4 linked regions of the Drosophila melanogaster genome follow. The protein of the gene in region 1 purifies or fractionates together with the protein of each later gene. This does not show direct contact. Each region holds a gene or a part of one and is shown on either strand. Other genes may lie near its edges. The genes, in order: Ald1, Chd64, Yp2 and Bacc.

Region 1 (7,729 bases):
CTTCCGCCACTTTTTCCACCTGCGGCAATTTTCTAAAAACTTTCCACGCATCCAAGCGCACGAATACATGCTGCGTACTGCGGAAAGTTTTGGAAAATTTAATCTTGCAAGTTCTTTGGAGGAAAATTATGATTCGATTAAATATATGTAACAGCTCTCCGAACGAATTTTACGTTGTTTTCAACTTAACTGTCAGGTACAGATATTCCGAATTATTATTCTAATTAACAGTAGGAAGTTTGCAAAGGGCTTTCATGAATAAAGTTAGACAAGACATTTTTAATTAAAATGTATTTAAATTAAATTAAAAGGTAAAATAAAATCGAATTTTTGTTTAAAGCTAACTAAAGTAAACAAAATCATAAGCAAGGTATTATTAGAAATATATAATTTATTTCTGTTCGCCAAAAATATTTTCTTTAAGGTCTAGTCAGTTTATTCGGTAAAATGTAAAAATGTATAAAAGGAATATATTTGCAGTTCCATTGTTGGAGGAATATAAATGTTGCCCGTCTCACTCCAGCTGGGCCTCGATCAGTAACTCTTGCGGATTATCTGGATTCGGCTTGGGATATAGCTTCGCTCGATTGTGACTCGGGATTAGTGCGTGGCATTTAGGACTTAGTATTTGTGCTGGGCGACAAAGAGGTTGGCATTGCCGGCAAACGACGGAATTGAGCCGGGCACGTAAATACCCTGACAGGCCTGGGAATTGGCCTGTGGAAGCGGGAGGAGAGCGGGATTTTGGTTGGGATTAATCAGATTTTGGGCTTTTGTGGATTAGGTTTAGAGCAAGCGAAGCATGAGTGGCACGAGGACAGTATGTTAAAGGCGTTTGCGATAAGTCGGATTTGGTGAAAGGCGGCTATGATTCTTAAGTTACCCCATGAAAGCTTGTTCATCGCCATCTTAAGGCAGCAATTCTTCAATCCTTTGATCAATACCTGTGGTCATCCACATGCAAAGTATCTTTTCCAGCGAACCCCTTAACCGATCCAGCTGTATAGTTACCACAAGCCGCCTCTCCGTTAGCCTAGGCATGATTAATGTGTGGTTATTGATGATGAAATTAATGTCTCACGTACAAAAGCAAAAAAAGGTTACAAATAATGGTAGGGAAATGAAAGGGATAAGATTAGAGGATTAGAAGAACATTGTGGTCATTTGGGATTGGAAATGGAATCAATGGCTGGGAATATGCTGTATGTTATATTATACATGTATAATATTTCTTAGCCCAAGGAATACTTCCGAAGCATATACCTGACACTCTTAATACATTCACCACTTAAATTGCTAACTGCAATCAATCGTGCATAGATACAACTATCCAAGGACTCACCTTGGCGCGCTTAAGCAGCTCGTTCTGGCCGGCAGCAATGTTCTCCTTCTTGCCAGCCCAGGCACGCAGGACGGAGGCCTGCAGGGCACGACCGTACGAGAAGGTGAGGGCCCATGGGCGGATCAAGGGAACGTTGTTGATGGCACTCAGGTTGACGGTGGCCTCCTCCTCGGACTGACCTCCAGACAGGAAGGTCACGCCTGTAGACAAACAATCGATTAGATAGGATTCATTGCAAAAACAAGGTGAATGCATTCCAATCCAGAGATTACAGTTGGATTTGATGACTCACCAGTAACGGCGGCGGGAACGGTGCGGCGCAGAGCCTGCACGGTGGCCAGGGCGATCTCCTCGGGGGTGTTCTTCTTGGCCGACTGACCGGCGGTGACCATGTTGGGCTTCAGCAGAGTACCCTCCAGGTAGACGTGGTGGTCGCTCAGGGCCTTGTAGACGGCGGCCAGGACGGTCTCGGTGACCTTCTGGGCGCGGTCCAGATCGTGATCGCCATCGGGCAGAACCTCGGGCTCCACAATTGGGACGATGCGCTGCGACTGGCAGATGGAGGCGTAGCGGGCCAGGACATTGGCGTTCTCCAGGATCGACTGGTAGGATGGGGTGTTCTTGCCGATCTTCAGGACGCAACGCCACTTGGCGAAGTCGCAACCGTCCTTCTTGTACTGGGCGCAACGGGCGGCCAGGTCATCCAGACCCTGGGTGGTGACCTCATCCTCAGAGCCGAACAGTGGGACAACACCCTTGTCGACCTTGATGCCCAGAATGATTCCCTTCTTCTTCAGGATCTCGGCGAAGGGGGTGCCATCATCGGCCTTCTGGTAGAGGGTCTCGTGGAACAGGATCACTCCAGAGATGTTCTCGGCCAGCTTGGGGTCAGTGCTGAACAACAGCTGACGGTAGGCACGGCGGTTGTCCTCGGTGTTCTCCACGCCGATGTCCTGCAGACGCTTGCCCATGGTTGGGCCGGACTCATCGGCGGCGAGGATTCCCTTGCCGGGGGCAACGATTTTCTGGGCGATTTCGCGCAGCTCATCCTGCAGCTCCTTGCTGGGGTAGTTGAAGTAGGTCGTCATTTTTGAGATTCGAGTGTAGTTCTGCAGCACGAAGATCCATTTACGTTTGATTTGGTGTGGTGTTATTTTGTTGGATGAAAAAGAGTAGCGGACATTGTGTTTTAATAAGCTAGCTATCGAATTCCGCAGCGGCGCGGATGATTGGAAACCATTGCGTAAGCACAGAATTTTGAAATATTTCGAGGTAAAAAATAAAACTAAAAATTTGGACTAAAATTTCGTATACGATCCGCACAGTCTGACAACCAAAATCAAGTAACTCAAAGTTACATATGTTCCTACTGAAAAAGATAACAACGGCTACAGAGATAGCTATCAATCAAGTGTTGGATTATTTTACTGAACTGACCTAATTATTATTTCCATAAAATAAAAAGAATATTTGTAAAGGTCAAGTTATTTAAAGTGGAACTCTGAGTTAACCGATTAGAGCCATTGAGTCATATGCTGTTGTTTAATGATGCGGTATTATATAATTTTGTTTTCAGTGTCAGGTCAATGTCACTGGTGTTTTTTCCAATTTAAAAATATTTTTCCATTGAAGATAATAAATGCTTTGCATGGTAGTGTATTTCACAGCTGATTCGATGGCAAAGAGCGGGTGATTGAATGAGATTAAAGGCGCATGCACGGAAAACGTGCTTTTCTCTATATCTGCAGCTCTTCGCTCTCTCTCTCTCACATTTTTTTTTTTCTAGGTTTGTCCTACACTCTCAACATTCACATATAAAATGTTGCCTTTTAATAGAGCTTTTTTAGAGGTTCTCACAAACATCAATGAAAATTCACATTTTAGAAAAATCCTCTTGGATTGTACTATACAAAGTTGGAAAAGTATCACTGCACTTTTTGGAATGAAATATTATATAGTGTCTTATTTTATAGTGTCTGTAATTTGCTAAAAACTATTTGCAAAAACCGAACAATTGTTTTAAGCTTAGATCACAAAGAAAAATCCGAACCAACCTCGACGATGATGTTTTTGTAACTGAGCAAAGTCACGGAAACCTCGGCAATAATTCCCTCTGATGTAATCAAAGTCATGGAATCTTGTGTCTCACTCTAACCGAATGCAGCTGTCTTCTTCACACCCGCATAATGCGTGACGTGGTAACTTTCACTTTTATTGCCGCTGCTGCTGCGCTGTTCCTGCAGGCAGCGACGCCAACGCAGGGCGCATGAATTTTCGCTTGACATTGAACAAGGTCAAGCAACAAGCCTTAGCAACAAATGTTGCCAGCGAAATTTGTTGCTTACGAAATGCGAATAGAAATTGTTGAAAACCGAAAGTCGTGTGGCGCGTGTGAAGTGCGATAGAGATAGCTAGTGTCCAGCAATATGTAGATACAGATACGAAGTCATCTGCGATGACTAAAAACCCATTTTATACTTGTTTGACATTGACAGTGAGCCAAGGACTGGGAATGGCATAAATGTCAGGTTAAGAGATTAGACCTCCGCAACTTATCGCGAAATATTGTTTACCACATCGACCCCACATTTCCCACGCCATATATTTAACACTTTGTACACGCGTGAATAGCTTGTGGTTCCTAAGAACAGATAGATATTATAAAAGCTTGATATATGCATATATTAAAAATACTGCACAGTTTAAGAATATATTAATATATCTCTAGAATACAAATCATTTTTTCATCTATTAATTTCTAAACAGTTATCTAAACACACTTCACAGAACGACACTAGATATGTATGTACACCCTTATCTATAGAATTATCTATAGATGTTGCGGATTCACTCAGCAGACAACACCCACCTACACTTGCCGGCAATCAATCGAAGACTGAAATGTTTCGAAAACTAGGCGAAATATATACGATGACAAAAAAGAAAGAGGAACGAAGAGCAGCCAACGCATGACAACAAAAAACAATCAAAATAAATTTACGTTCCTATCAAGAGACCGTTTATAAAAATAAACCGCCACATGTCCGTCTATATGTATTCGTGAGCTTGCTATCAGTGAAAATTTTGAATCGAAAACGACGAAAAAACGAGCCCCCAGTTGCGTTTTAGTTCCAAAGGTTTTGCATTATCATAACGAGATTTTAGGTCCGGCCTCCTTGAACGCAGACAGTGGGTCAAAAGAACATCCAACAGTTGAGATAATACTACTACTACTACTACGAACTGACGTCAACTGATTAGCCGTAAACATGGGTGGTAATAATTGTATACTTGTCTGAAAATAGGAAACTTCGAGCACTCCCATACTTCTATCTATGCCCTTATTATGTGACCCCAAAAACTTTGTTGTGGTAACTGTTTACTAGATAAGCCAATGTACCTTATCTAGTCTTATTTCATCGATTAGCTTATACTTTACAATGAGAATGTATACCTATAATTCCATTATATTCATTATAAAATTTCCCAAAGCTTGATATAAACGATCAAAGGAACATAAATTGGTTGTTTTAAATGTTCAAAACTCTTCTTAAAAATCCTAATCAGGTTGATCTTGAAAGGAAGTCCTTTGGAGTACCAAAACTTGTTTTCTGTAGGTTTCAAAACAACCCTTAAACTTCTGCCCCTCTTTTCTCATGTACTCTCTACAAACTATCGGTAAAATGTTTGCTCTCCTTCATTCACTGAAATCTCAATTAAATGGTAGGTATAAAATGCAATAGACAAAAGCATATTGCGTCTATCATGAGAAGACGTCAACAATCTGATGAATTTACGATGACGTTGGCTAATTGAAGTCTAAGCGAGAGAGCGATGGGAAAGTATACATATGTATATCGCGATGTATAGTACATACATTTAACATTTGCGCCAACTATTTATAAAGAAAAACCGCAGCGGCGACTACAAATTGCAGTTGAAAGCCTGCCAACAAGCAAATGAACTCGAATGAAAGAGCGGATGAAAAGTAAGAGAGCCGGTTGAGCCGGTAGAGAAAACTACTACTCACGAAAGTGAGCCAAAAGTCACCCGATAAGGCTTCTTATCGCCTGCAGTTCGCGTAGCCCCCCCACTCCTTCAACCGCGGTGCATAGGTCAACAACACTCGAGAGCCTCGAGGTTCTAGAACTTGTCATAAAAGTGGCGAGCACGCGGAAATGGTAAGATTAGAGAATAATTAAACTATATTCGAATACGCACTCACTAACACTAACACGCCTACAGATTCGCTGCTGCTCTGTAGATTTGGATTACGAAACACCCAGAGAAATGGGAACGATTACGCGACTTTTCAACTGCACTGCCGCCAATGGGGGGAAAAATATCTGAATTTTTTTTAAGGGGCTCAGGGGTTCTGTTCACTGCGTATGACGCCCACTCACCGAACTGGAAACTGAATCTGGGATGTGGTGATTAGCTGCTGGCTACTGGCTGGGTCCGCTGCTGCTGCTGCACTGGAGGAGAGCGGTTAACGCTTTTATTTTCGGCCCGTGTCGCTGCTACTGCCGCTGCCGATGCCTCTGCTACCGCTGACTGCGGCGTCAACGTGAAATTCCAAAGCGAAATAAGCGAGACATGCCGAGCGAGACCCCAAAAGGTTGTTTGGAGGTCGTCGCCGACGGTGTTGGGCAACCGACTGAGCCAAGCGCTTTAAATTCCCAGATCCCCAAACGAAAGGTATCCAAAATAAAGCTCATTCTGGGAGCTTTTAGTGGGGGATGGAACCTAACAGATAAGCTGTAAAACTTATTAGACAGCTTTGAGAAGCTTTAGCTTTCGTTTGGGCGGTAAAAATTTAAATGAAATGTGCTCAAAGCGTATTAACATAATAAATAATTTATCTTAAGATCTCAAACACTATACGATATATATTGAAATAGTATTGAAATGTTAAAAACAATAAAGTGCCACAAACTTAATGTCGCGTCTTGCTGGATATAGTCATCCCAAATCATCCTCATCAAGTGAACTATATGTCTTGCCAAGCTTTCTTGCCCAAAACTATAAAAAAGCATTAAAAATGAAGTGTTATCTTTGCAAGTATTTGTATCTTTTAACCTGTCAACAACATTTCCTATTCTACTTATGCATTGAAAAGAGGGTAGAATAATTAATTTGGTGTATTTTAACCTTAATTACGAGCGACCTGCTTTACTTGGGGCGGTCAATGAATTTTTCGTGACCATCAGCATCAGGCGCTCCAGCGGCAGCGCAACAAAAACGAGGGGTGCCAGAAGCAGCAGCTAGGATAAGCGACTTTCACGCCATGCCTGACCTCCTGCAATGTTAAAGGACTCAACCCCCTGGCACTGGAAACAGCTGATTGAGAGCGCAAACTTTGAGAAAATATCCCCCTATTCTGCCATACAATCTGTTCGAGCGAAAGAGAAAATCGTTTCGCTCTTTAAAATGTCCTAATATGACTTTGGCACAGTTTTCTGAATGAAAAGAATGACTGTGGAACGGGTTATAACATTTAAAGGATTTTAGATATTTCATAGACTATCTATGCTTAGGTTTCTTTAGTTAAAGTGATACAGTTGCTAGATATATATGAAATAATATGCTTACCTAATGAAGGAACCTTAGCCACAGTGCTCTTCATTGTCCTCGCTCTCTTTGTGCCTCGTGGCTTCGTCCTTCGTCCTGTTTCGGTTCTCGTGCCTGCCTCACTCGCTTCCCATTTTCGTTTGGGGATTCTGGTTCAGTTTTCAGTTCGAATTCGTGCGTCGGTCGGTCGAGTTGTGTGCCAAACGCTCGGCACCTGTCGCCCAACACGTGTTGCGTTCCACTTGCGCTGCGCGTCTCCTTCGCACACCCGCGTACACCGCGGCGTATACGCTACGTACTGTGGTGCAGCCAAAGCGAAATAATTTCTGATTATTCTAGTTATGTGAACCGAAAGTGGAGTGCATAAGAGTCTGAAATTCAAGCACCAGCTGTGTTTTAACTCATATTAAATTAAAGAGGAGATACGAAAAAGAGGAGTGAATTTGTGGTTCAGAAGAATGATAAATTGTTTTCCCAGTTTTGGTAAGAAACGATTTGGTTCGATTTGGTATACTCATTAAAAGTTGATGTAGATCAGATTATAAAGTATCTTTCAAAAAACTACAGAAAAATGTTCATTTCTAAAACTAATATTGATGGAACCCTTTTTTTTGCTTTACAATAAATGGCAAGATTAAAGATTAGGGCAAAATAGCTAGAAAAGTTTTTGATCAACTATAGTTAGGTTATACTATATTTCTATTTATCTAGTCTTTTTGTTAAAGGACATTTGAAATAGTTTTTTCTTAAATTCCATTTTTCTTCTTATAAGAGTTCACGAAAACCAAAAGAATGTGTGCAACAAAGAATGCAAAA
Region 2 (4,802 bases), on another chromosome or scaffold:
GCAATAAAAGAATACGAAGACGCGGTATCCACATACCATTAACCCATCCACATTTACAGCGCCTCACTGCTAGGAGGGCATATTCGAACCCCCTCTTTATTTTTTGCCCAACTTTGCACAGTTGTTCTGTAAGTTAAGTTTAATACGTTGAGCCAACGAATCGTGAGGTATTATTTATTTAAACAAAACGAAACAAACGAAAAAAAAAAAACATAGGAAAGAGGAGGAAATAAGGAAATTCAATTGAAATTATTTGCTGATACTGTTCGCAGCTAGTCGAGCAGATACATAGGTAGCCTGTAAACAATAAAACAATTACACGCGGATATATACACCCACTGTAATCACAGATGTCAGTGCTTGATATACACATGCCTAGGTCTAGTGGAACTGGTAGTTCTACCATGTTGTACTATTTGTAGTAGGAGTCCCAAATCTGATTATGCTTATGTCACCCTTTATTATAGGAATGTTCTCTGTATATTATTGCGTCTCTTTTGCGTCTACGTATATATTTTTTGGTAAATGATTTTTTATATATACATATACACATTTATATTTGTAATTTGTATTTATCCATGTGCAAAAATAAATTATGATGATTATTTTTTAAAGAGTCGTCCCCCTCGAAGCATGCATAACAGATTGTAAAAAATGAATCGATTTATATATAATACGAAAATCACACACTACCCACTTGTATCTGAGCGAAAGGGCCTTAACAATTAGTAGGATGCATGATCGATGTATGCAGATCGGTTATAAAAACAGATATAGCAGGCATATTATTCGCATGCGAAAACCGTTAATAGAATAATATATTATAATGGCAATATGTGTATGCAACTAATAAGCCCTAACTTCTAGTTAATTACTGCTTTCCTATGTTATAAACCAAATGGCGATATAATCAAAACAAAAGACAAGCCCACATAAGTTAAATGTGTATGCTACCAACATAACAAACCTTTGAAGATCAAGCTGAATTATGTATTTCTAATATTAAATATATCACAACCCACACATAAAAAAAAAAAAACAAACACGACAAATAGAACAACAAATTATACAAGCAATTCCCCTATTTATTTAGAACCACACTGAAACACTAAAGAAATTCGCTTCTTATCGTAAATCCACAATTGCATAATTTATACGATTAAACAAAATATATATTTATGTGAATAAACTGTAACTAATTCTCAAGGCAATCATCCAAATGCGATTCGCTACTTCTTGGTTTCCAGAAAGTCCCCCAAAAATGTCATGGTCATCTGAATGGAATGCTGCTGCAAGAACCTCTCGATAAGGGGGAACATAGGAAGTTTTCAATGGAACTTTACTCTGGCGAATCTTATCGGATAGTTTGTACACAACCGCAAAAAGTAGCACTAATAGTGGTTGACTTCTATTAAAAGTAAAGCAACAGGTGGATCATGGAAATCATACTGATTCAGATTCATTATCTTTTCAAAACCTATTGAAAACAAAAGTTACTGGTTTAGAAGGCAAATGAACCAGAAATTTTAAATTTATACTTATATAGTGTAAAATTGTTTCCAGTGCTCGATAGTTCCATGTTTTATTATTTGAAAAACAACTGCCGTTAACAAAGCGGTATGACATCATCAATGCCATCATAACAAATCAGCTGCCGCTGATAAGCGCAGCTTGGAGCTTTTATGTTGTACCCAACCTACTAGGTACAAGACTGAGTGTGCTTTACAACACTAAACTGTTGGCGAGCTTTCCTCTGTTTCGCAGCTCGGACCGCCTTTCATAACGTAGTAAGTTTTCGTTGCGAACGGACGTAGCCCAACCAACTTGGCCTTAACCCTTGCGCTCCCTCCGATTTATTCCGCGGCAAACACATTCCAGTGGACAGTGGTGCAGTTCAGCCCAAGACCAACCTACATTTTAGCTCCCTGCAAACCCGTTTCTTCATCAAATAACTATGGCGTCCAACCGTGCAGCGAAGTCTGGTTTTGCCGCCGAGGCCCAGCGCAAAGTAAGTACCAAATAGCAACAACAACCGCACCCCCCACCCAAAAACCGAAGAGCGCCAAACAAAACAACACAATAAACAAATTGCCCAAAAAAAAATCAACTTTTGCACGGGTGTGTGCGTGAGTTTAGAGCTGCATTGACTTTATTTGGCGCTGCGTTGTCAAGATTTTATCTTCGCGCGCCAAATGCCAAAAATTAGCCAAAAATGGTCTTGAAATTGCCAGCGTCTAACAAGGAATGACCTCATTTCGCTGATAAGTCGAACAAGTATTTATGTACATACATATGTATATAGGAATATATACATGCATGTACACACATGTGTAATGCATGCGTAATTCGAAAGCTTGAAGATGATTTAGGTGATTTTGAGGCATTGTCAGTGCGGGTGATTCAAATCGAAGATCGAGAAAACAGTTGGTTATCCATAAATCAAACAATTAGTAGTAGTTAGTAAAGCTCTGGAAATTTCGATATGAATAATATCCCAAGTTCGAACAGTATACATTATAAAGATGAGCTAATATAATCCTAATTAATTGTGCTGCAATAAAAGCAAGTCTGAATACATAGGTGCTACTTGTGGAGTATCCACTGTAGAAGGAAGACCCTTTGGATGATCTCAACCCAACTATTGCAGCATGGTAGCTTCCGCAATGTAAATTGACATTAGTTCCGTCCATTAGCAGCACTTTGCCTCAAATGCACTCATACAAATGCATCGGGCTTTTGTGGGTGGGATGGGGTTGGGGATGGGTTACCCGTACCCTTCGGCCATTTGGCCCTCGTCAAGTCGGGGTTACGCAATTCCAACCGCCCCTGGGCAGCCCCAAGTGAAATTGTATATGTCGCCGGCACAGGGGATTAAGTGCAGTCCGACGAAATCCACAACAAGACAACTACAGTTACAGCATTGCCCAAACAAAAAACGAAACAAATAATCGAGATTTTTCATATCCGAAGTTTTGTATACCCTTGAGGAGCACTTTACCAAGTTGTTGACAAACTGAAATATTTTGTTTTGCTTTAGCTTTGCTTATCTAAAAGTATTTCCACCCGGATTTCATTCTCTTGAGTCAGCCATTTGGCAAAAGGCCTTGTTTATCGGTATTATCTGTACTAGCGCATTTTTAAAACACAGTATGTTTTAAAACACAGTATGAAGTATGTTTTAACGTGGTTTATGGTGATATATCAGGCACTATGGTTATGAAAAATATTATGAGAACTCTGTAGTGTTTATTTATGCCATATCATGTTAAGCTAAAACATTTTGGTACTTGGAATAGGAAGAACCTTGGCATAGGGTATAGAAAAATAAGAGAAATAGAGGCGAGTGCCTGGAGGCGCAGCTGCTGGCGCGACTCCAAGCCGCGATCGAATGGCTCCCCAGGAGCCGAAGGCGATGATGTCATTCCTTCAGCTGTCCCTCCACTGGTGCTCCTCGATCCCTTCGCGATCCATTCAACTCGAAGGCGTTGTTAGTTTGAGCACTTTTGCCGCTCGCTGGGAGTCACTCATATCTTCTGAGGGGGATTCGGGTTCGGGTTTTGAGTTTTTGGGGGTGACAGGAGGTAGAGGCGATAGCAGCACCTTTTCCACCACATGAGCACTTAAAACTGAGTATGTGGCGTAAGCAAACAGCAAAACAAAAGTGAGGCAAAAAGGTATGAAAGCAATATTTTTGTTTGTCTCATGGGTTCTCTACACTCCGTGCTTGCGTGTGTGCTTTTTCCGACTTTTACGACCAGTCACCGACAAATTGGCATGGATCTCAAGTTTCGGCCAGGGAATTCGTAGCCCCTTTATTTTCAACCCTTTCCTGGGATCGTAGCACCAGCTGTCGGGAAAGTTCTAGGAATGAGGCAGAAAGGTCTCAAGTTACTCAAAGTATGTTTACTAATTTGTAACTACATAAACGATTGAATATATTAGTTTAGCAATCTTAGATTCAGCATGATACTATTTCCTTTCTGGAAATTCACCCCTAAGAAGCCGCACTGTAGTTGTTTTCTTTTCCAACTCCCTCCACGCTCGCAGCTGTATCTCACCGCATTGGCGGCACATGGGCCACGTACTAATCACTTGGCCTTTTTCGGAGTCAAGAATCCACACTCAATTAGCAGTGCATATGTGAAAGACACTGTGTACACACTTGTACATCCGCAGCACGCACCTCCCTGTATCTGTATCTATATATCAGTATAGGTACGGGTATCTCTATCAGTGCGGGCGACACGTAAGTGGAACACTTGGCCCACATGAACTCCGTGCTCCTAGATGGGTATAGCTAGGTATTCATTCCCGAACCTCTCCCCCAAAAATTTAACACTTGTTGGCCGCTAGTTTTAGATAAGCCATAAACAGTCGCGGGAGGTGGTCGACAGCGGCTTTATCGTAAATCAAATGCTGTTTTGGATTTCCGGTGAAACTACTGCCAGTGCCGAAAACACCTCGACAAATGAAAATGGAATGAAATTCTGCCCCCTGTCCAAATCCCTCCGAAAAAGGCACTCGATGGGGGCCCATACAACAACTCAGTCAACTGAAGTCGAAGTTGGTCGCTCGTAAACCAGACTCAAAAATCATATATGTATGTACGCAATTGACCTCGTTACATTTTTGCGGATTTTGTTTATGTTATCGTTGTGGAATTTTTGTCATTTTCCCATTTATTTATCCACCCAAAAGATATCGGTCAGCAATTGTCATGGATCATGACGCATTCGAATCGCAAAAGAAAGCGAAATCGGCGGTGGCATAGTGAATAATCACCAGATCTGGCCATTTCGTGG
Region 3 (4,067 bases), on another chromosome or scaffold:
AAACAAAAACACAGCTCTAAATAAGCCTCTAAATCCATTAACCCATCTCATCTGGAGACCCATTCGCATCGATAAAAAGACCATCCATTCCCATTGCACCCCGTGTTGTATATGATTTTTCCAATTTGTGATTAGTTCTGATGAGGTTGTTGAAATCGAGACGATGAATATGAGTGAAGCAAGTTGAAATTCTACGTTAATTATTCTTATTTAAGCTTAGTGATATCTCAACCCAATTTTTTTGCGCCTGCCAATACAGTAGTAAGCAAGAAATATTGTCCGTAGTTCATCGTCCCATATATATAGCGCCATATCTATATATGTGGTTGTGCGTGTGTGTACGCTATATATCATAATGGATAATATGCTTTCTTTATCAAATAAACATATCATGTAATCCAAATGTTTGTTGTGTGCTTCTTTTATGACCTCAGTGGCATTGCATAATTTGGTTTTGGATATTTTTATATAATGAGCATTTAGAACTCTCAAATATTTCGACATAAGCAATTGTTTTTATTGTAAATTGAACTGGGGTTTTTTTCTGATATTGAACTGAACTCTTTAGAATGTTTAAAAATGCAAACGTTTTTTATTGTGAGTTAAAAAAACAAAGCTAACTAATCGTAGTGGATGCAACTGGCAGAGGGTTCTGCTGGATGAGGATGGGCTGGAGTGGTTCGCTCGCATGAGGGGTGTGCGATCTGGTTGTCATCGATGGATCACTGTGCGATGATCTACTGACGGCGGGAACCCTGGTTGGAGGAGGACTGGCGCCAGGGCTGGTGGACCTGGTGGTAGCCGGTCTGTTTCTGGGCGGGAGTGCTCCTGCCGAAGGGGCTCTTCGAGTTCACCTGCAGAATGTAATCGCCCTGCAGATCGAAATCGGTAGCGATGCCCATGTAGCCGCGCTTGCCATAGCCCTTGTTCTGCTTGTACTCCTGGTACGAGCTGGCGGCCACGGAGGGGAAGTTCCTCTCGTTTCCAGGACGCACGGACTCGGCGAAGTAGCGGGTGGCACGCATGGTGGCCTCAACGACATTATCGGCTCCGGGCACTCCGGTCGAGGGTCCGTTGGGGAAGAAGTCCACGTTGGCCAATCGCTGGCTGGTACCCATGCCGTAGGCGGAGGTGTGGATGGCATCAACGAAGTCAGCATCACCACGGGCCAGTCCGGTCAGCCTCTCCTCGGGCTTGCCGTAGATCTTAGTGGGGTCCAGGGCGGTGATGCGGCGCAACTTGTGTCCGGTCTGACGGGTGAACTGGCGTCCAGCCACTCCGGCAACGTGGGCAGCGGGTCCAGAGCCAATCAGATGGATAATCTCTTGGGGCACGTTCACGGTGTTGGTCAGCTCAACCAGACGGTTGCCAATGATCTCGCCCAGACGCTCAATGTTCAGGGTGGCGTACTGCTCAAAGTCCTCGATGGCATTGCCCAGCTGAATCACAATCAGGTCTCCGGTCTTGGTATCATCCTGTTCACCGTTCTGCTTCCTGCGCTGCGTTTGCTGCTCCTCGCTGGAACTCCTCTGGCTCTGCTCCTCGTTGGAGTAGTCGGTGGTCTCATAGGGCTGGAGGTTGTAACGCTGCTGGTAGGCCTGCACCAGCTTCCTGGTAGCCTTCTGCACTTGGGTGTTGGTCTCGGGCAGGCCCTGGATGAAGATGGTGACCTCATCGTCGCCGAACTTCTGCTGGCGCTTAACCTTCTCCACCAAAGTGTTCAGGTTGAACTCGATCTTCTGGCCGCGCTCGCCGACAATGTAGCCCCTGATCTGGCTGGGTTCCGGGGTGTAATCGGGCTTGAAGACATGGTTGAACTGGGACAGATGGTCTGCGGGATAGGATAGTGCGTGTAAATATAACATGATTGGTAGAACTTTTAGAGATCCTTGAACTTACAGAGCTTGTCCAACAGCGTAGCGCCCTCCTCCAGGCTCATCTCCTGCAGCTTCTTAAGGGTAACCTCCTTCAGGTTGGGCAGCTCCTCGACTTCACGTGGATTGACCCAGTTGCTGGGCTGCTCCACATTGTCCAGGGAGTTGGATCGGCGACCGGAACGGTTACCAGATTGGGGATTACCCATGGCGACCGCCAGAAGGCAGGCCATAACGCAAAGGGTGCGCAGAGGATTCATTGTGGCTTCCAAGTTCGACTTTTTCAGACACCGTACCAAATTGTACTGCATACCCACTGCTGCGACTCAATGCATTTTATACCCCTTGGAATCGGTAGTCTATACACACTATAATGCACGCGCCGGAAGCAATTGATTTCAGCAACCGATTTCTGGATCAGCACAAATGCATTGATTCGCAGCGTCAGTGATTTTGCAACACTTCTGATGAGCTCTAAAATTTCGTTCCCCTTTTTTTTTTTTTTTTTTGGTTATTAAGTATCCATCGGGTAACAGGTAATGGGAAACTTCTTTAACCAGCACTTTCATAACATAAACAAAAGGTGGTCTGGCCATTAAGGGGCTTGACAGTGGGGGCACGACTTGAACTCATGCACAGGTCAAGATAAAGCTTTTGTTTGAAAAAAATATTTGGCAATTTTGTGAAATTTATGCAACTATTTAAGTGTTTGCCAAAAGAATTGTCTAAATTGTTCTATAAGCAGATAGCACTTTCAGGGAAATGCAAAATAAATATATTATAAATTATAATATTATAAATATAAATATTTACATCTATCGAAATATACATATATTTTTAATAAGTAGAATGAGTTACATGAAATAGCATCGATAAGATCATATATTATAAAACGAATCCCGGATATTAAAATAGAATCTCCTTGAAAAACGTTCCCCTGAATCAATTCATTTCTAAAGTCCAAAAACAAATATAATCTTACTATCTTGCCTTGGAAACTACAAACATTCCATACTTTTCGTATCAATGGCAAACATCTAGGAATCAATGAACTGTATCGGCCTTGAATTGAAAATGCAAAATTATGGACTTTTAATTAAGCAGAAGAAAAGTGCCAAATATAAATCTACTTATAAACAAAAAAAATCAATAAAATGTTGTATATAATAACCAACTAATGCCCATGTTAGATCTATATTTTATGCATTTATTTGATCAAATCCGGTGCACAACTACAATGTTGCAATCAGCGGAGCCTACAAAGTGATTACAAATTAAAATAATCAGGCGGCAGCAGGTGCTGCTAAGTCATCAGTGGGGTCAGCTATAGGTAGGCCCCGTGTCTATTTTGTATGTATACAATTTATTCCGCTATCGATAGCATATACACTCATCCGATTCCCAGGCACCCGAAAACCCTTACTCAGCACAAGTGACCGATTAAGGCCTGAGCCAGCGAAAAGCGAGTCAGAAAATGGGAAATCGCTCAGCGCAAATTGTGGTATATAAACCACCATCGTTGGATTTGGAAGGCCAGTTCAACTCACTCAGTGTTGAAGTCGCATCCGCAGGACCAAATCCCAAATCCGAACCATGAACCCCATGAGAGTGCTGAGCCTTCTGGCTTGCTTGGCGGTCGCCGCCTTGGCCAAGCCCAATGGCCGTATGGACAACTCCGTCAACCAGGCATTGAAGCCGTCGCAGTGGCTCTCCGGATCCCAGCTGGAGGCCATTCCCGCCCTCGACGATTTCACCATTGAGCGTCTGGAGAACATGAACCTGGAGCGTGGCGCCGAGCTGCTGCAGCAAGTCTGTGAGTAATCCTAGATGCAGATAAAAAAAAAAAAAAAAAACATCGAATATTCTATGGAATATATATATCCTTTGTAGACCACCTGTCGCAGATCCACCACAACGTTGAGCCCAACTATGTGCCCAGCGGCATCCAGGTCTATGTGCCCAAGCCCAATGGTGACAAGACCGTTGCTCCCCTGAACGAGATGATCCAGCGCCTGAAGCAGAAGCAGAACTTTGGTGAGGATGAGGTGACCATCATTGTGACCGGACTGCCCCAGACCAGCGAGACCGTGAAGAAGGCGACCAGGAAGCTGGTTCAGGCTTACATGCAGCGCTACAATCTGCAGCAGCAGCGCCAGCACGGCAAGAACGGCAACCAGGACTACCAGGATCAGA
Region 4 (7,981 bases), on another chromosome or scaffold:
GCTGTCAAAAGAACTGAAACTTCCGTTTTTGAAAAGCCTAACAACCCGATTAGAAGAAATCTATTAAGCACCGCATTAAGCTGAAAGAGCGAAAAACTTAATCGCCGTGAATACAAGCTGATGTGTGTGTTTTAGATACACATGCTAGCTGAAGCGTCTGGCTATCGATTGTGTTTGCATTGAGATTTGTTCGCACCTTTATGCTACAGCAAATTAATGACGCAACAACGTGTAAGTGCACTGGGAGAAATTCCTGAGGCAGGTCAGTAACGACAACGGTCGGGGAAAAATCCCTTGCGTTAGTTTCGTGTTCGAAAGGGCCATAAAATTTCCGAATCGACAGATGTTTGGGTTCCGGGAAGCAGGACCATCCATCCATTTCTGCCTGCTTGAGATCCTACCTACCCGGTGGTTGCCTGCATTTGAAACCGTTGTCTAACCTTGAAGTAACTACGGTCGTACCAACCAAGCCGATAACTCGAGAAATTGGCACAGGTTGTCCTCAGGAATCTAGATACCATTGTTCAACACCGAGAGGTGGTCTCACAAGCCCGATGAGCACGACTATTCGTATCGCGAGAGACCCACCAATCTTGGGCCGACGAGCGTCAAGCCACTCGAACGGATACTGAGAGTTCGGCGGACGGAAAGTGAGACAGTGACAGCCAGAGAAGAACGGTAGGCGGCCCATGGAAGCACAGCGAAATGGAGACGCAAATCGGCTTATCAGGCAGCGATGTTCAGGCAAAAAGTCATCGCTGCTCCTCAAATATGTGATAACTGAGTGGACGACGGGCCACGATTACAGGTGTTTACGTTCACCATGCCGCCTCGGTTGGGATGCCGCGGAACATGTTCGCCGGTTTTAATTAGCGATCCGCCTGTCGACAGTCGTCCGCTCGCTCTGTCGTCGACCGTATTATTCAGATTACCAGATATATAGCCTAGGTATTCGTATTTGCCATTGCTTTCGCACGAAAATAGCTGAAAGCGTGAGAGGCTGTCCAATCGAAACTCGACTGTTGGATACCCGGCAAACGATAGTTATTACCCTTTCGTCGATAGGCTACTGGAAATAGCACCAAGAACCTTATGTCTTCCGGTCGAATTCCTCTAGTATTACTTTATGGGTTGTTATTCCGCTCGTTAATGTGCACATTTTGAATGAACTTGAAGATCAACCTCGCAGTGATTGTCCCACTGATAACACAGATTTATAGAGAAGAGCCAGTACAACTCGAGCACGTTGACTACCAGGTGATATGGGCGATATGTTATAGCCTACTCGGCAGTTCCAGTTTCCCATATATTGGGCGATTCCTGAACCCACTGGGTTCGTGCGGCGAACGAAGCCATCACCATCAAATGGTCGAACCACAAGTGCGGGATCAACAGAAAGATTGGCACATGAAAAAAGAGTCAAGGGTGGACCCAATTCGACGAGTGATAGGCATTGGCATTTAAGTCGAAGTCTTTGGTGGGGCCATTAGGACTTAAGGATGTTTAATATTTCTGGAAATTGCCGATTTCGAAAACTAACCCTTAAATGTTTTCGAATCTTATGGGGTTGCAAATTGCTGTTTTCTTGCTATTTCTCCAGTTCTCTAATTCTAGTTTTAAGACGCATAATCCCGGAATAGAGCATTTCCCCGATTGCGTGCATCTAAATAGTTAGAATCTCAAAAATAGCTGCCCGCTTTCCTGGTCCGCGAAAATCACCTGCTTCCCCACACGTTACCAATCAATTGACCCCAATCCGCGACGACATTGCGTCCCACGCTGGTCCACTCTATAAATACGAATACCGTGCTGAATACAACACACAGCACACACATCTGCATCTGCGGCAACAATGCTGCAACACTTCTTCCCATCGGCAACATCCACATCCACTGTTCTGCTCTGTTCTGTTCTGTTCCACCGACGAACGGTCAGAACGCCACAGAGTGACTGCACCACACACACCACACACCACCATCGCCGCTACCAACCCCCAGACCCCGCCCCCAGGCCCACAAGCGCACCACTGGCGCGCGCAATTTTCAAATTTACCGCCAAACGCGCCCACAACCGTACTCACGGAACCCAAGCAGATTTTGTATGGAATTAATCAGGAAACCCACTCAACTTGTCATTTGCGGATCTAGTTTTGATCGCAGCGCCTCGGGAAAAAGCCCAAAATTAAGCGGATACTACCAGCTATAGCCTCGATCAGTCTCTGAACCGATCCGAACAAAGGTATTCAAGTTATAGGCAAAAATGTCTGCAACCGATTTGGCGCAAGAAGAAGCAAGCGGCAATTTCTAGCCATCGAACGGACGGCAAGCTCAGTCTTGTACGAACCGTCGACGGGAGCACATATCGGTGGTTAGCAAACCAAAGGAAAACGGATATTCCATACATCAGTGGGGCCTACGAGTAAATCCTTTTGCCTGCCGTAGCGCCGCCTGATATATGGCACCTCCTAAAGCCTTACTATATAGATACTATATTATCAGAAAATCACCGCAAAATAATATACCAAAAATCCAACGATCGCTCTGCTCTGGGCTGTTGTTGTTGTCTTATCGACTGCGGCTGTACAAATGCCGCGGCGATTTTTTGAGTGTATTGTATGGGCCAATGGCGTGGGAGAGAGAGAGCGAGTGAGCGTCGTAACGATTTCGGGGAGAGCGAAAAAGAGAGCAGCGAGAGCGTTTAAAGAAAGTTACTCTCTCCTCGAGAGGCAGTGCTTAAATAGACGGCCCGCAGCTGAATCGCATTCAGTGTGTTTGTGTGCTTCGTTCGGTGCGGTTCTCTCTGTCTCTCTCTCGCCTTCCCCGAGTATTTTGCGCTGGTTTTTTGTCAACAACAAGACAATCCACAAAACCAACCCGAATTGTTCTCTATATAACGCAGAAACTAAATAGTTCCGGAAAACCTCAAAGAAACCAATTCAAATATGTCGGCTGCTACGGAACAACAGAACAACGGCGATGTGGCCGTGGAGAAGGTGGCGGCAGATGATGTGTCTGCTGTCAAGGACGATCTCAAGGCGAAGGCGGCCGCCGAGGATAAGGCCGCTGCTGCCGATGCCGCCGGCGACGCGGCCGACAACGGTACGTCAAAGGACGGCGAGGATGCCGCCGATGCCGCCGCCGCTGCCCCCGCAAAGGAATCCGTGAAAGGCACCAAGAGGCCAGCAGAAGTGAGTACTGATCTATGTGACTAGGTAGTTGTTTACGCGGTAAAACCAAAAGGAGGCCCCTCTAATGATTCACTCCAAGCCAATATGCCAGTAGCATAGCATTGTTCGAGGAAAAATTCTAGAAATAGATATACACACGTTTTTCGGAACAGCGCACTCTCCCAATGGCTTACATATGCCCCCAAAAGAGAGAGCGTATAGCTGGCTCGGTTGTGCGTTTGTGTTGTTTACGATTAACCAAGATGATTGCGGGTCCGGCAATCAAAGATTATTGTTGTTAGGTTCAAATCGAGGTTAGGAGGGCCGCCGTGCTTATATAGGCGGGGAGTACAGTTAGCCAGGGCCTTTTCTTTGGTGGGGTGGGTAATGTGTTTTTAATAAACCCATAGGTCATTAGCATTGACGTGTCCGCTGAACAGCGTTACCCAGCAATAGATACATTGTGGCATTACGTCTATAACTCATACGCTTGGCCTTATTTATCAGTCGCTGTGGCTACGGGAATTGCAAATGCAAACGCAAACGCAATTCAGCGCGATGCCAATGCACTCTCTCAATGAAAACACACATTGCCGGCCGGTAAATTACTCATGTCATGTTTGGCCACTTTATTTTTGGTTAGTATCGCCAAGAGCACGCGGTATTCGAACAAGTTTTGGGGGCCTGAAGCAGTCGCATTCCATAATCGAGTAGCACATTTCTTGATAAAAATAAAATAGTTCGGCCAGTAAGGCAGATAAATTGGCAAATCAAGCGCTTTTCTCAGACTCAAACTCGAAATAAAAATGTACAGTTTAACGGGAGCGTTCTCTCGCTCTCTCTCTCTCTCCCCGGAGAAAGATAGATACAAATAGAGAGCGCTGCTAACTCTCTCCCTCGTAATTTGTATACACACCGTTTTGTCTGTTTGCGTATGTGCTTACATTTATCTTTCACTTTTTTTTCTGCTCTGCCTTATGCGTATTTATTTTAGTACATAAAACAAGACGGCTAAACAGGGTGTCGCAAAAGTTAGTTGGGTTTCTTCGGGATTCAATTGAATAATGATCATTATCCCATGATCATGAATTAGTTGAGATACGTTTGGCACGGATAATTCTTAGTGGTACAGTAACGAATTGTATAGATTTCAAGAATAGTTTTGAAAATTATTCGTTGGTTTCCATATCTTTCGATTCCAAACAACAGATTAGCTTTTGTCCCTATAAATGTATCTTCACGCTTAGAAAACACAAACTAAAACCTCTAACTAAATCAAGATACATTGATTACCCAGTTATAACACCAGTAATAGTAGGCTTAGTTCTTGCCAATACAGATACACCCTGTTCGTCTTAATCCTCTATTGGCCTTTTCTCGAGTTCTGGGTCTCGTGACTTATGCTGTAAGCGAAGTGAAAAAGGGGGGCGATGGGTGGCCATTAATTTTGCACATTTTTCCACAGTCCGATTGTTTTTCGCTTCTTCCGCTTTGTAACAGTCTGGTAAATAGGGCCCTTGTGTTGCGGCTTCTCTTCGACTTGGGAACGTGACCGCCTATATACTGCCATAAACCATATACCATTATGTGTATCTTGTTGTTGGTTGGTCAGCGGCAAAAGTTAAACCCACGCATGTTGTTGTTTTGCGCCTTTTTCGCTGCCGACGTCGCTGCAGCAGCTGTCGTTCGGATGGCTGTGAGTGAGAGCGAGAGATTCATTCATGCAGTTCAGGTACAGTTTACAGTGCTGCGGATTCAGATGCTCTCTCTCTGGCGCTCTCGCCCGCTCTCTATCTTACAGGGCACGCTTCGTTTCGTATCTCACGGATGCGGATACATATGTCGCTGCCGGCGTCGCTGCTTATTGTTTTTTTTTCCTTCCCCCTTATGTAGTAAATATGTCGCCTTGTACATACGGAGCACAGATGTAATGTAGCGCGGTTGCACTTGTAATCCACTCTCTCACGTACTCTCTCTCCCGCTGTCTCTTTTTGCCGCAGCGAATTACATTGGCGCGCGCATTTTTCAAATGTTTTTTTACGGCGAAAATAACGATTTTCGTCGCTGCTTGTTTTGTGTGCTGAAAATATACATTTTATGACTATGTACACACGCACAGGAAGTTGAGAGGGGTATTGGATGCCCTTGATCAAGGAGATGTGTGGGTTTGAGTTGGGCGCGTAGGACCATTTCGCTCCGTAATTCTCCCTAATATCCTTTAGTTTGTTTCTCAGATTAATATCAAAAATGCATAATTAATAGTGACGGGCCCCTTATTTCTGTTCAATAAACTTGCTTGTAATACAGTAAATCATCAGCGGAACAAAAACCAAAGGAACTCTACTAACTTCTCTTTTTTCGCTTCCAGGCCAAATCCGCAGAATCAAAGAAGGCCAAGAAGGCCGCGGCCGCCGATGGAGATTCCGATGAGGAAGAGGCTCTGGAGGAAATCATCGAGGGCGACAGTGAAATCGAGAGCGACGAGTACGACATCCCCTACGATGGTGAGGAGGATGACATTGAATGTGATGGTGAGTTCACGGAAGCACTTCCCTTTTCCACATCAATCTAATCCCCGGATTTTCCCTTTCCCTTACCCGCGCAGATGATGATGATGATAATGATGACGGTTCCGGCTCGGACGATCAGGCGTAATAATAATGTAGTCAAAAATACAAACAAAAACAAACAAAAATTTAAATTAATAATAAATAAAAGTTACAAGCAAAAACAAAACAAAAAAAATATAATAATAAACCAACAAGCAGAAAATAAACCACAACAAGGAGAAAATGAGGAGGAGGAGGAGAAAAAAACCACAAAAAAATCGCAAAAGTATATAATTTTTATGTTTAAGAAATAATTTTTTATTTCTTACCTTATTTTAATTGTATTTTATGTGTACTTTTTTTATAAAAAACTACAAAACAAACAAAAATTGTAATTGAAGGCATTTTCGTATAAACGCAACCTATACGGAATCCAACAAAAAGTAAACATCCCCACTATATACAAGAACAAAACAAAACCAAAATCTTTCTTTCCTTTATCTCATAAGTCCTAATTTAAACGCCCAGTTGATGCGTAAACCAAGATATACAAAGATTTCAAATGTAGCGTAAACGAAGCCCGCGAATTAAACACAGATACACTACACTCACACACACACACGATATTCAAATTCATTATTAAATTAGACGTTACATTTGTGAATGAATGATCGATCGAAAGAAGCAAAAATACAAAAGTGAACATTTGAAAATGAACATGATTATGAACATGAAAAAGAAACAGCAAATGCAATTAAATACAAAACAAATAAAACATAAAAATTGTATTTAAATAAATCGCAAAAATCATTGAAACCCCATACTCGACAAGCATTCAATGACACTCAAGTTTTAGCTATGGTTTCAAAAATTTCGCGCCCATTGTGGCCACAGTCACCCGAATTTCCCAAACCCAAGGCACTGGGACTTAGTTGGTCTTCGCTTTTGGGGCAAATACAAAAAAAAAAAACAAAAAAAAATGAAAGGAAAACATCGGGAAGTTTGAGTTCTAACCTTCTGTTTCGTTTCAGCATTTAACTATAAACTATGACTAATCTTAAGTACTTATGTCAGTATTAAAGCGAGGGCTTTATTATTCTGTTGATAAGTTGTGCGAGCGAGTCGTTGATAAGCCTAATTCATTTGTAAATTGTAAAAACCAACTCGAGAATCGAAAAACGAGCAAGAAAATAAACTTTTAATGTTACATGTATCTAATTAGTAAGGGCATCCAAACTATTTATACACACACCCCGTACGACGAGTTCTCAATATAAACATATAACGACTGATATTTCAAAACGAATCGTGCCCAGCTGGTCAATCACGGCACTCGACACCGAAACCACCCAACCACCACCATCCTCGAATCTAAACGATTTGTCCCGGAAAGACAGACCAGCCCAACATACACACACAATCCACCCACTGACCCAGATCCAAACTCCAAGAGGCTTAAAGCTGGTAATGCCAACCAGCAACTGAATAATTGAGTGCAATTAAACCAATATGCCCAAGATAAATCATCCGATTTGATAACTGATAAACAATAGCGATATCACAGACAATGTTAAAGAACTATGCATTTTTGTAAATACCAATTACTCATGTATCTGCTCCGTGCGAGAATAACATCTAGTAGCGCGAAAGGGCAAAAAGAGAAAAGAACCACGAATCGAAAACGAGAATAAGAAACAATTTTGAACGATGAAATAAATTATTGTAATTACGTAAAAGCGAAAACCGTACGTACATACCACCCATTTGGCATCTGTTCCGATGCCAATAAAAGTTTGTTTCAATTGCAGTTGGCCATTTTGGGTGGGGCAATCACCTCGCTTCGGTGTTCCCAGGGGTAGTAGTTCTTAGCCAGGAGCATGTACGTATGTAGGTACATAATTCATAGATTGGCCGCCCCTACATTACTCCGATCCATCCCTTCCATATCCCAGTTTTCGTTCGGGGGTTGACGAGCTGGTTCCCACAATCCTCCCTATGAAAGAAATCATATACTAAGGGATGATGGAAAAATTCAATCGGAAATTTCCTTTGATTAAGTACCTTTTTCGGATTGAAAATCGATTAGCCTTAGCAGATGCCTATTAAAAAAACGAATGATGAAATTCCGGGCTCTTCGTTGGGCAAATGAAGTTGAGCTACTTTTATATTCAAATTCAAATATAAGCGCAAAAATTTCTAAAAGTTTAAGAGCTTTTAAGTTTCATAAGCCATTTCTTTCATTTATTTCAACTTTTATTAAAATTAT

What was found.
Region 2: the proteins of Ald1 (region 1) and Chd64 purify together in Drosophila melanogaster (affinity purification with mass spectrometry, with the first as the bait; one large-scale study listed by BioGRID). This does not show direct contact.
Region 3: the proteins of Ald1 (region 1) and Yp2 purify together in Drosophila melanogaster (affinity purification with mass spectrometry, with the first as the bait; one large-scale study listed by BioGRID). This does not show direct contact.
Region 4: the proteins of Ald1 (region 1) and Bacc purify together in Drosophila melanogaster (affinity purification with mass spectrometry, with the first as the bait; one large-scale study listed by BioGRID). This does not show direct contact.

Annotation. Positions count from the first base shown.
Region 1 is NT_033777.3:26,255,591-26,263,319, forward strand, and holds Ald1 (aldolase 1), read right to left. Parts: upstream 6,002-7,729; 5' UTR 5,746-6,001; exon of another isoform or gene 5,564-5,745; intron 5,524-5,563; exon of another isoform or gene 5,312-5,523; intron 4,246-5,311; exon of another isoform or gene 4,212-4,245; intron 3,624-4,211; exon of another isoform or gene 3,397-3,623; intron 2,690-3,396; exon of another isoform or gene 2,452-2,689; 5' UTR 2,431-2,451; coding exon 1,635-2,430; intron 1,543-1,634; coding exon 1,343-1,542; intron 1,034-1,342; coding exon of another isoform or gene 938-1,033; exon of another isoform or gene 884-937; intron 718-883; coding exon 622-717; 3' UTR 376-621; downstream 1-375. UniProt on the Drosophila melanogaster protein: Enzyme of the glycolytic pathway. Glycolysis is essential in glial cells but not in neurons; neurons rely on the citric acid cycle for their energy needs, and on lactate and alanine secreted into the hemolymph by glial cells to fuel it.
Region 2 is NT_037436.4:4,119,362-4,124,163, reverse strand, and holds the start of Chd64 (Chd64), read left to right. Parts: upstream 1-1,775; 5' UTR 1,776-1,954; coding exon 1,955-2,008; intron 2,009-4,802.
Region 3 is NC_004354.4:10,050,450-10,054,516, forward strand, and holds Yp2 (yolk protein 2), read right to left. Parts: upstream 2,186-4,067; 5' UTR 2,135-2,185; coding exon 1,900-2,134; intron 1,832-1,899; coding exon 738-1,831; 3' UTR 502-737; downstream 1-501. Other genes in the region: Yp1 (yolk protein 1), read left to right, coding at 3,468-3,687, 3,765-4,067. UniProt on the Drosophila melanogaster protein: Vitellogenin is the major yolk protein of eggs where it is used as a food source during embryogenesis. Vitellogenins and their receptor yl/yolkless are required for maintenance of microtubule plus-end orientation towards the posterior pole of oocytes.
Region 4 is NT_033779.5:2,750,474-2,758,454, forward strand, and holds Bacc (bacchus), read left to right. Parts: upstream 1-1,971; 5' UTR 1,972-2,367; intron 2,368-2,521; exon of another isoform or gene 2,522-2,595; intron 2,596-2,759; exon of another isoform or gene 2,760-2,898; 5' UTR 2,899-2,941; coding exon 2,942-3,187; intron 3,188-5,534; coding exon 5,535-5,697; intron 5,698-5,771; coding exon 5,772-5,821; 3' UTR 5,822-7,447; downstream 7,448-7,981. UniProt on the Drosophila melanogaster protein: Negatively regulates tyramine beta-hydroxylase tbh and thus the conversion of tyramine (TA) to octopamine (OA).